Linked DNA regions of Saccharomyces cerevisiae S288C. The protein of the gene in region 2 binds, or shares a complex with, the protein of the main gene of each other region. Each region holds a gene or a part of one and is shown on either strand. Other genes may lie near its edges. The genes, in order: SRB8 and SSN3. A codon is read from its position in the direction of its gene.

Region 1 (6,610 bases), on a different chromosome or scaffold from region 2:
AATCTGCAGAAGCACAATCCACATTTGGAATTAAAAGATAGTGAAAAATGTACATGAACCCCAACCAGTAACTTAAACATAATATTTTGGGTCACTATATCTAGGGCGTTGTTCTTCTTTGTGATTTATGCAATATACGCATATATGTATATATATATAAATATATGTTTAAAAATGTCCATAGCCGCTATTTGATCATAATAAGCCATCTTCATACAAAGCCAACAATTGATCGTTCTCTGCTATATAAGCGTTGATATCTAGGGCAAACTTGTCCCAGTCTATCTGGGGAATGTCGTCGTTGCTAATCCATTTTTGCTTTTGAAATCCGTTCTCTACAGTGAAAATTTCTCGCAGTAAATCCCTATTCTCCGCCAATACATCAACAAATTCCTGGTAATTCTTGGTATTTTGAATTTTGTGGAAAAGAGAACACAGATTCTTGACAAAAGATTCTCTTTCGTTAATAAGCGTCTCTAGCTGTGTTCTTCGTTGTTGCAGTACGATGTAATCGAGATCTTGATGCAGGTCAGTTTTTTGAAACTTGGCCACAGCATCGTGCGTTCCCTTTGGGGTGATCATTCCAGTTTAAATAGACTGGTACACGCTAGTACTGATCTTGTAAGCGGATGAGCACTTTGTCTTAATCCTCCTTAACCATCGCTCATAAACCCCAGTTTTATAATCGGTGGCAAACATGTCATTTGGTACGGTATCATTTAGAGGAATCAATTGGTTGGGTATTAAAACTGACACATAATTACTGTTATTGGTAAATTTATAATTTATCCATTTGGATATATTCTGAGATCAATGTGGATTTTTCCTCTCAAACCGAGCATCAAAAAGACTCAGGTTTACACAGGAATCGTTAAACGCAGTCGTATCATTACTGCCTGTAGCCATGTCATCTGTGTACTTGGTATTATAGTTGGAGATGAAGTGGTACGGCTCCATGGAAAATGTGCAGACATATTTATGATCTTTCTTGTCATAAATGAGCCATTTCTGTTCGTTTTCGTGCGCTATTTCAACTATGCCGATTCCTAAATTTAAACTAAACGATTCTTCTTGGTCTGCATCTTCTTCTTCCCCGTAGTCGCCACTATGAAGTTTTGTTTCCTTAACGAAAGAGGACACTTGGAATGGTGGTAAGTTCAGCAATTTCTTCGGTAGTTCGACCTTACCGCTTGTGTGGAATGCTGGGGCATCAATTGTGGATGAATAGATGGCGAATGATTTCAATGAAGACAAAATTTCGTACAAGAACAGCTTCAATCTTAAATTAAATGATATTTTATCAAACAGCTTGCATATGCTATCAATGAATGGACTTGTGGGTTTATCAGCTGATAAATCAGCGATGATGCGTTGGAAAATGGAATCCTGATGAAAGCTAAAAATTTTCAAGACGGCATCTATTTGGATTTCTCTCTTAGATAAATTTCCTTCGTTCAGTTCACTTAATTGTCTTATGATCTTTATTAGTAAATGATAGTTCTCCATGGAAATAACTATCATACCAGAAGTTTCTCTTTGAAACCTCATCGATAATGACGTTATAATCTCGATCACCACAACGATGTAATTATCATCTATCTTTTGGTTGTTGTTTTGCAAACAAGAAGTGCAGAAATCTTTCTCCACTATTTGGGTTATCATCTCAATGGTCTGCATATCCTTCAGTTGGTCAAATATTTGTGAACATAAATCATTAGAATTAGTTATTTCGATAATTTGGAATATGAAGTTCTTCAAGTCTTCCATTGCCATTGCTGGCTCATTATTCTCCATGATTTTTTTGATGCAGAAACAGGTAAACGCTTGGAAAACCCAAAGATTGGCAAAGTCCATCATAACGTAATATTCTACATGATCAATTTCGTCGACTGTGTGATCATCATCGTCACTTTTATCATCGTTGGTTACAACAGTGTCATTGTCTGGTTGTCCACTACCCAATGGAATATCGTTAAGATCGGTTTCCGACGGACAAGTTGAGTAGTACAAAATATCCTCCAAAATATTAGATGAGTTTTCCACGCTATCATTCAATAACAACATAATGATTTTTGTAGATGTTGCAAGTAATTTGGGAGATGACCCATAAGTTATTAAAATTTTCAATAGGATCTCATAATAATTTATTTCACATTCGTTGCCATGATATTTTTTTTCTAATTCATAACATGTAAGTAAAATTTTCTCAAAATTTGACTTTATGAATTGTTCTTTATGATACTTCAAAAACAGACCATATGAGCCGTCATTATTTTCCAAGTTTATTGGTAATAATCGAATAATATACTCGAGCCCCAACACATTCTGCGTCACTTCAAAAGTTAGAAGTTTTAGAGAGATCAATTGAATTAAATTTTTGTTAGTAAAGTCTTTCCTTTTCAAGAAAATGGACATAAATTTATTGTACTCCTTCAAGTTAGTGGCAATCAAAAGCATGACATTGTTTCGTGCTTTCTGGAACTGTTTGCTTGTATTTGTATCAATGATCTCGGAGTTGTGTAGTAGAAACCTGATGTTTACTTGAAACACCTCGGGAAAATTCCAAGTCTGTCCAACAGCTTGGTTTGAATTATTGATCATGGAATACACCTTCAAGACTTCTGATTTATCATTCTTCAGCTTCTCAGTTTTCAATTTCTCATCATTGTAAACAGATTGTAACTCAATCCTTAAATCGTTATCCACCTTTAAAACAAAAGGGAAGTTTTTCATAAAAAATTTCCAGAATGGCATAAATGAAGTCACATTATAAGCAGGCACGTCTTTTTCTTTCAAAACTTTCTTGTAAATGAATATGAACGTCTTCGTAAAAAGAATATGGTCATTAATGAATTGTGAGAACAATTTTTGGTAGCATAGCAAGATGTCCATCAATGCCTCCAGAGATTCTATATCACTTAGCAATTGATGGTAGACAATAAACTCGATCCACTTAAAAAAGTGGTGGAAAACCTCCAGATCGATACAAAAAATCTTGAATATTTTTAGCAACACTGTGCGGTTAACACTAGATAAAATACCGGAACATAAATGTGATAAGTACCATTCTGCAACCATGATTTTAATGCTCAGAGGAGTTTTCGACAGTTGCAAATTAGTTATATCATTGGAGAGTATTCGCATTTTGATTTGTTCTGTGATTTCCACGAGTTGGTCGAAATTAAAAATTTCATAAAATTTAACGTCATATTCCATAACGTTCCTCAATACCATATTGTATTGACTTTTCATCAACGGTGAAATTTTCAAGTTAATTAACAGCTGGACATGCACAAACTTATCATTGGAATCTTGGAGATAAAGTAGGCCGGAACTGATTAGCTTTCTGATATACGTAGGGACCTTAATGATGCCATAAGTAATTAGTATATTAAGCAGGCGATACAAAGAAGGCATCATATATGATACCACCCTCTTTTGGGCCGAAAAATTTTTGGCTAATTGGAAAACCAATGACCAAATGGCATCTTCTATCTGGAATTCGTGCAAATCCTCATCTGTTGAATTTATTCGCAATAGTAATAATTTCGCTACCAGTTGATTAGATTCATAGTGATCAAATTGCCTTGATGGATGTATGGACCAGAGAATTAATTGAATAATTTTATGCATTGTAAGGGGATTTTGGTCAACGTAAGTGGGCCAATCGAATTCTGTAGGGTTATCGTCCAGTAGCTTGGTGAACTGAGTATCTATACAATTTAATTGAATGCATGATAGTTTTGGAAATTGTTTACAGGTGACGATAGTTAATTGAAAGTCATTTGCGTTGCTGGCAGACATTATTACGTTTCGTATAGAAGAATTATTCTTCAATGACTCGTTTCTGTAACTAATTAACTCTAATTTTTTCTTCATATCAGAATTTTGATTAGTGTCGGCGTTTGAGACTATTTCAAAAAGTAAGGGCTTGTAAATTTCCCAGTTAGATGTGGGAAATATAAACACCTCTAAAGATTGTTCTTGAAAAATTTTCAAAATTAAACTGGATAATATTTTGAGAATATTCAACTTTATCTTGTTGTTTTTCTTTATATCATTGATGATGTAGTTCTCGTCATTTATCATTGATTTGCTGCTGGAAACAATATAATATTTGTGCAATAGCATATCAGTGATTTTTGTTACCAGAAAGAAGGGCTCTTTTTGACTTGATGTTATTGTAGCCGCAACAGGAGCATTTGTATCAATTTGGCAGATGTCGTTCCAAAAAATCATCAAAATATGTAAAGATAATGGCAAAAATTCGAAGTTTTCCATCTTATTTATAAACTCTACAAGCCAATGATGAAAGATTTCCTTATTGATCAATCTTAGTGAGTAGCAATTCCCCAAAAGTTTTAAAAAATAAGAAATCTGCCTCTTCCACGTACGCAGTTGTTGAGAATCGTTATAGTGATTTGTCATATCAAAGATGAGCTTTTCCAGGATGTATACAAAGGTATCCGTCCAGTCCTTTAGCAGGTGCATGGAAATGGCATCATCTGCCCCAGCAGCATTTGACCTCTTCTTTTTGTGGTTCGATTTCCATTCGATAAAATAGCAGCACTTTATCAACCAAATCGCCCTTTTCAATGGTATAAATTTTAAATAGCACTGCTCGATGACTTGCCTTCTTTTCAAGCCGTGAGGTATAAACTTGCCAATTTTGACCAGCGAAGTGTGAGACGAACTCAATTCATGCAACCACGTTTCCTTTCTATGATCAGTAAGGGTTATTCTATTAGGCAACTGAAAACCAGGCCCGTGTAATGTCGTCGTGGAATTTGAGGGGATCTTATTAATGTGGTCTTCTCTAATCTTGATAATTTTGTCGAATTGCTGGGAAAGAATGTTGGATTGAGTGACTAATGATTCATGAACAGATGATCTCGCAGATATGGACTCGAAATTTACCATTGGTGTATGGTAAAAGCCCTTAGCCACAAAGTTTGCTAGGATTTGATCTTCTGCTGCAGTGTGCTCCCAAGGCTTGAAATCAGGGTATACTTGTTCCTGAGGTTTCGAGCTTGGCACATAGGGGTGAAGATCATCTGGGGGAGTCAGCAAGTATCGACCAGAACCGTTATTCATCGCGTTATTGGCTTACCTCTATAGACCTTTTTTTAATCTTTCGATTAGCATCAAAAATCTCAGCATTTTTTCAGAAAGGTGTTTAAAATGCGCTATAAAGAATATAAAAAGTAATATATATGTATACATACTAATAAAAGGAAGAAAAAAAATACAAAAGATGATTATCTAGGACTTGTTTCCACCCAGGGGGGTGTTTAGTTTAATTTTGTTTCGTTAGATTGTGCATTCATTAGTTTGGTTTCTCTTTGGGGGCCAGTTCTGTCAACATTGGGCCAGTTGCCCCAATTGGAAAGCCTAACCACCACGCAAGTGGCGTTGTCTGAGTGTTTAGTGGCTATTGCCTGAATAAATTTGATTGTCTCCTCTGCAACAAATTGAGGAGTCGCCTTTTTCAGTCCCCAGGAGTTCACCGTAGAGGTGATGAGGTCAACAACCTCTTGGTCTGCAAGTTTATTGGTGATGCCGTCGGTGACAAGCGCCAGGAAGCATTCATCACCATTGAAGGGCAGCTTCGACCTTTCAGATCGCGGCAAATGCAAGGTATTTCCGACAAGAAACGAGAAAATATCCGGCTCACTAGATATACCATACGGTTTCCCAGCGACATCACCAAACGATCTAGTGTTGGCGAAATTATTCAAAAACCTTGTCTCTCCAAAGGCGTCTGGGTCCAATCGAGAAGGGTCTATGCTCAAACGGTGTCGTTCCCTACTGGAATTGATGTGGTGAGTTGTTGTTAATGCGTGTGCAATCCCGTCTTGATCGCAGAGGATGATCTTAGAGTCGCCCACCTGCGTGACAATGAGTTTGAGCAATCCAGAGTGCGATATGATCCACGAGTCATCGTCTTTCCCCTCATCAATGGGTGCATTCGGATCATCATACGGATATAGAAATATGGACGACGCTGTGGACCCCGCTGCGGTGCCCAGGCCGCAGCATTGGTCGAGATCGAACCTGGCAAACCCGTAGAACAATCGCAGACGGTCTAGCTCAGTGAGCAGTGCAATTTTGTCAATAATATTCCCCATTTTATCAAAAATCATCCTGCCACCATTTTGTCCAAGGATCGCACTATCGCCCTCCTTCATCAGCAGCAGTTCTTGTTTCGAGTTGCAGTTCTTTATAAACTTGTTGTAGAATTTTTCAAACGTGGACAGCTTATGTTTCCAGTAATTTCCCTCGGGAAACCTTCTTGCATATTCCTGTACCAACTTCTTCAAGTCCTGCTTGTCCCAGGAGGGTTCAGGGAAATCCAGGCTACTGCACAATTTATCGGCTAACAACTGTGACAGTTGCGCACCTTTCTCCCCATGGCCATCGAATACAGAGCAGTTCAGGGCACTTCCATACGCATTAGGCCACGACCGCATCATTTTAATGGAGTAATTGTCCTGGTTCTCTAACCGGTTGATCCTACTCGTGGCGTGACCCACGTACCCTGGAAGACCCCGTAACAAGTCCAGCTTCAGCCCAACATTTTGCGACGGCTTGCAATACGCATAAGCATTCC
Region 2 (4,331 bases):
TACAGAAGTCCCAAGATTTCAACCTTTTGCCGATTGAACAATTACGCCGTGTTGATCAATATACCTTGTATAAGATAAACGAACTGCTGGAAACGACGAGAGAACACTACCAAAAGTACAACTTTTCCAAGGTTCTCATTACTCTACAATATCATTTAAATAACGAGCTATCGGCGTTTTATTTTGATATCTCAAAGGATATTTTATATTCCAACCAAATATCGTCATTGGCAAGAAGGCAGGTCCAAACAACGCTTGTCCATATACTAAATGCATATAGGGCAATTCTTGCACCAATATTACCCGTTATGGTCCAAGAAGTATGGAAGTATATACCAGAAGGATGGTTACAAGGACAAGAACATATAGACATTAATCCGATGCGTGGAAAATGGCCGTTTTTGGACTCAAATACGGAAATCGTCACCTCCTTTGAAAACTTTGAACTAAAAATTCTAAAACAGTTCCAGGAGGAATTCAAGAGGTTAAGTCTAGAAGAAGGTGTCACCAAAACAACACATAGTCACGTTACCATTTTCACCAAGCATCACCTCCCATTCAGTTCTGACGAGCTTTGCGACATATTGCAATCATCTGCTGTTGATATATTGCAAATGGACGATAATAATAACAGTCTACCAACTATTGAATTGGGAAGCGGAATAAACGTTCAAATATTGGTTGAACGAAGCAAAAGGCACAACTGTCCCAGATGTTGGAAGGCCAACTCAGCCGAAGAGGATAAATTGTGTGACAGATGTAAAGAAGCTGTGGATCATCTCATGTCTTGAATGACATGTACCTTTCCTGTATATAAAGAATGCCAATTATTGGCTCTTAGAAAATAAAAACCCTCTTGTACTTATTAGTGGGTACCTAACAGGTCCCCTACTGACATTTTGATGCAGGGCCTCGGCCTATTGTTCTTACCAGCTCTCAGCGCGTTATACGAACAGGAAGCAAAGAAGAGAAATGTAAAAATATTGCTTTTGAGAGACCGTGTAAGGATAAGTGTTACACCCAAGGCACCCTCACCAGGAACATGACTGTCATGAATCTTTTCTTCAGGCCCTGTCAACTGCAGATGGGCTCTGGACCGTTGGAGCTCATGCTTAAAAGGCCAACGCAATTGACCACGTTTATGAACACCAGGCCCGGCGGATCAACCCAAATTAGATTCATATCGGGAAATTTAGATCCAGTGAAAAGAAGGGAGGATAGACTACGTAAAATATTTTCCAAGTCACGACTTTTAACAAGGTTAAACAAGAATCCTAAATTTTCACACTATTTCGACCGCCTCAGTGAGGCCGGCACGGTTCCAACACTTACATCATTCTTCATCTTGCATGAGGTAACTGCCATACTACCACTGTTTCTACTATGGTGGTTACTTTATAACCTCGATCTTTCTGATGATTTTAAGCTCCCAAACTTCTTAAATGGCCTAATGGATAGCTGTCATACAGCTATGGAGAAATTTGTTGGTAAGAGATATCAGGAATGCCTCAACAAAAACAAGTTGATTTTATCTGGCACAGTAGCCTACGTTACAGTAAAATTACTATATCCGGTACGCATTTTCATTAGTATCTGGGGAGCACCATATTTTGGGAAATGGTTGCTTCTTCCCTTTCAAAAATTAAAGCACCTTATTAAGAAATAAAGCTTTTTTTTCCTTTTTTTTTTCTGGCCCAGAGACGGATTATTGTTTTCAGTTGAAGTTGCGCACTCGGCATATGATTTATAGATTCCCAATATATTGTACTTCGTTATATATGTGTTACGAATATTTTTGATTTCGTTTTAGAGAGTTTTGATTAGAGGAAATTATAGCTTTTTTTAACAGTGAAATAAATATCATACATCAAAAGTCTTCAAGAATTACGTGGTGTGGCTTAAGTTGCGTTTCATTTTCCCGCTTCAATACTTGAAAGTTATCCCACAATCACTGCTGACAAAAAGGATACAAGAAAGGTTTATAGGAAAGAAAAAAGGCGGAAGGGTATACTGAAGTTAGTAATTTTGCTTCCCAATTGAATTAAGGCCGCCTAGTTTTGACGGGAGGAGAGAGAAATGTATAATGGCAAGGATAGAGCACAAAACTCCTATCAGCCAATGTACCAAAGGCCTATGCAGGTACAAGGACAACAGCAAGCTCAATCGTTCGTTGGAAAGAAAAACACAATCGGAAGTGTGCATGGAAAAGCCCCGATGCTAATGGCCAATAATGATGTTTTTACTATTGGACCTTATAGGGCAAGAAAAGATAGAATGCGGGTATCTGTCTTAGAAAAGTACGAAGTTATTGGCTACATTGCTGCGGGCACATATGGTAAAGTTTACAAAGCGAAAAGACAAATCAACTCCGGTACCAATTCCGCTAATGGTTCTAGTCTGAATGGTACCAATGCGAAAATTCCGCAGTTTGACAGCACGCAACCAAAATCAAGCTCTTCAATGGACATGCAGGCAAATACAAACGCATTAAGAAGAAACTTGTTAAAGGATGAAGGAGTGACCCCCGGAAGAATACGAACTACGAGGGAAGATGTATCCCCGCACTATAATTCCCAAAAACAAACCCTCATTAAAAAACCGCTGACGGTATTTTATGCCATTAAAAAGTTCAAGACAGAGAAGGATGGCGTCGAACAATTGCATTATACGGGAATATCTCAGAGTGCCTGTAGAGAAATGGCATTATGTCGAGAATTGCACAACAAGCATTTAACCACATTAGTGGAAATTTTTTTGGAAAGGAAATGTGTCCATATGGTATACGAATATGCGGAGCATGATCTGCTACAAATTATCCACTTCCATTCCCATCCCGAAAAAAGGATGATACCACCAAGAATGGTTCGGTCTATTATGTGGCAGCTTTTAGACGGCGTATCGTATCTTCATCAAAATTGGGTGCTTCATCGAGATTTGAAACCCGCAAATATAATGGTGACCATAGATGGATGTGTTAAAATTGGTGATTTAGGTTTGGCCAGAAAATTTCATAATATGCTGCAAACCCTCTATACTGGGGATAAAGTGGTTGTCACTATATGGTACCGTGCACCTGAGTTGCTATTGGGAGCACGGCACTATACCCCTGCGGTTGATTTATGGTCCGTTGGCTGCATTTTTGCAGAACTGATAGGATTACAGCCCATATTTAAAGGTGAAGAAGCTAAACTAGACTCTAAAAAGACTGTTCCATTTCAAGTGAATCAACTACAGAGAATTTTGGAAGTTCTTGGCACTCCCGATCAAAAAATTTGGCCTTATTTGGAGAAGTATCCAGAATATGATCAAATTACGAAGTTTCCAAAGTATAGGGATAACCTTGCTACATGGTATCATTCCGCGGGAGGAAGGGACAAGCATGCTTTAAGCTTACTTTACCACTTGTTAAATTATGATCCAATTAAAAGAATAGATGCATTTAATGCGTTGGAACATAAGTACTTCACAGAAAGTGATATTCCTGTTAGTGAAAATGTATTTGAAGGTCTAACTTACAAATACCCGGCAAGAAGAATTCACACGAACGATAATGACATCATGAATCTTGGATCAAGAACGAAAAACAATACACAAGCTTCAGGAATCACCGCAGGTGCCGCTGCAAATGCGTTAGGTGGGCTTGGTGTTAACCGTAGAATTCTGGCCGCGGCAGCAGCAGCCGCTGCTGCGGTGTCAGGAAACAATGCATCAGATGAGCCATCTCGAAAGAAAAACAGAAGATAGGCTTCTATTTTTATATATATTTGGAATTTTTCATTCCACAGCACTGTCACTATTATATTCATTAAACTTTTTTTTATCTTTATAGTATTTAAATCGGCATACAGTTTCAATTTTTCGCTTTAGAGGCACTAAGAATGCAAGTCTGCAACATTCAGGTAAAATAATGGGTTGATTTTAGGTCGAGCTAAAACCCTGTTCTCCGCAGATGTATGCGAATTTCGTCATAATTCATCTCAACTAATGGGGCTTTAAAACATATGAATATCTCATGCATTCCCAAAAAAGAAGAAAGAAAAGACTTCAAGTACCCCCCTTAATTTTTATATAATGGTAGTAGTAGGTTTGTTCGTAACTTATCGGCAATAGTAATATGTTCCCATTATAACACATCTGTTAATGGTATTCAGGTTAATAACCATAGCAAAAAATATAAACAACTTTGTACATTTTCCATAAAAAAGAATGACTTTACGAAAACATTGGATGAAACAACCAGTTCATCCCGTTCAAAGTCTAAACTACGTATAAAGTAGAGTTATCATCGGTTAACAAAGTACATTGTGTAGTATGTAGAAGGGCTGAAACCA

What was found.
Region 1: the proteins of SSN3 (region 2) and SRB8 are in contact, whole or in part, in a cryo-EM structure (PDB 7KPV), measured with the Saccharomyces cerevisiae proteins. Residues at the interface, in NP_015283.1 of Saccharomyces cerevisiae: Asn216 (codon at 2,722), Trp268 (codon at 2,878), Asp272 (codon at 2,890), Ser275 (codon at 2,899), Tyr276 (codon at 2,902), His278 (codon at 2,908), Gln279 (codon at 2,911), Asn280 (codon at 2,914), Trp281 (codon at 2,917), Phe311 (codon at 3,007), His312 (codon at 3,010), Asn313 (codon at 3,013), Met314 (codon at 3,016), Leu315 (codon at 3,019), Thr317 (codon at 3,025), Ala339 (codon at 3,091), Arg340 (codon at 3,094), His341 (codon at 3,097), Thr343 (codon at 3,103), Pro344 (codon at 3,106), Tyr402 (codon at 3,280), Lys405 (codon at 3,289), Tyr406 (codon at 3,292), Pro407 (codon at 3,295), Pro448 (codon at 3,418), Ile449 (codon at 3,421), Asp453 (codon at 3,433), Phe455 (codon at 3,439), Leu458 (codon at 3,448), Val470 (codon at 3,484); in NP_010004.1 of Saccharomyces cerevisiae: Gly4 (codon at 5,085), Ser5 (codon at 5,082), Gly6 (codon at 5,079), Tyr8 (codon at 5,073), Leu9 (codon at 5,070), Leu10 (codon at 5,067), Thr11 (codon at 5,064), Lys34 (codon at 4,995), Pro35 (codon at 4,992), Trp36 (codon at 4,989), Glu37 (codon at 4,986), His38 (codon at 4,983), Glu42 (codon at 4,971), Asp43 (codon at 4,968), Ile45 (codon at 4,962), Leu46 (codon at 4,959), Ala47 (codon at 4,956), Phe49 (codon at 4,950), Val50 (codon at 4,947), Ala51 (codon at 4,944), Lys52 (codon at 4,941), Gly53 (codon at 4,938), Phe54 (codon at 4,935), Tyr55 (codon at 4,932), His56 (codon at 4,929).

What each region holds. Positions count from the first base shown.
Region 1 is NC_001135.5:252,855-259,464, reverse strand, and holds SRB8 (Srb8p), read right to left. Parts: upstream 5,095-6,610; coding exon 811-5,094; downstream 1-810. Other genes in the region: AHC2 (Ahc2p), read right to left, coding at 196-582; type 2C protein phosphatase PTC6, read right to left, coding at 5,292-6,610.
Region 2 is NC_001148.4:472,453-476,783, reverse strand, and holds SSN3 (cyclin-dependent serine/threonine protein kinase SSN3), read left to right. Parts: upstream 1-2,076; coding exon 2,077-3,744; downstream 3,745-4,331. Other genes in the region: isoleucine--tRNA ligase ISM1, read left to right, coding at 1-791; MRX11 (Mrx11p), read left to right, coding at 1,043-1,666. UniProt on the Saccharomyces cerevisiae protein: Component of the SRB8-11 complex. The SRB8-11 complex is a regulatory module of the Mediator complex which is itself involved in regulation of basal and activated RNA polymerase II-dependent transcription.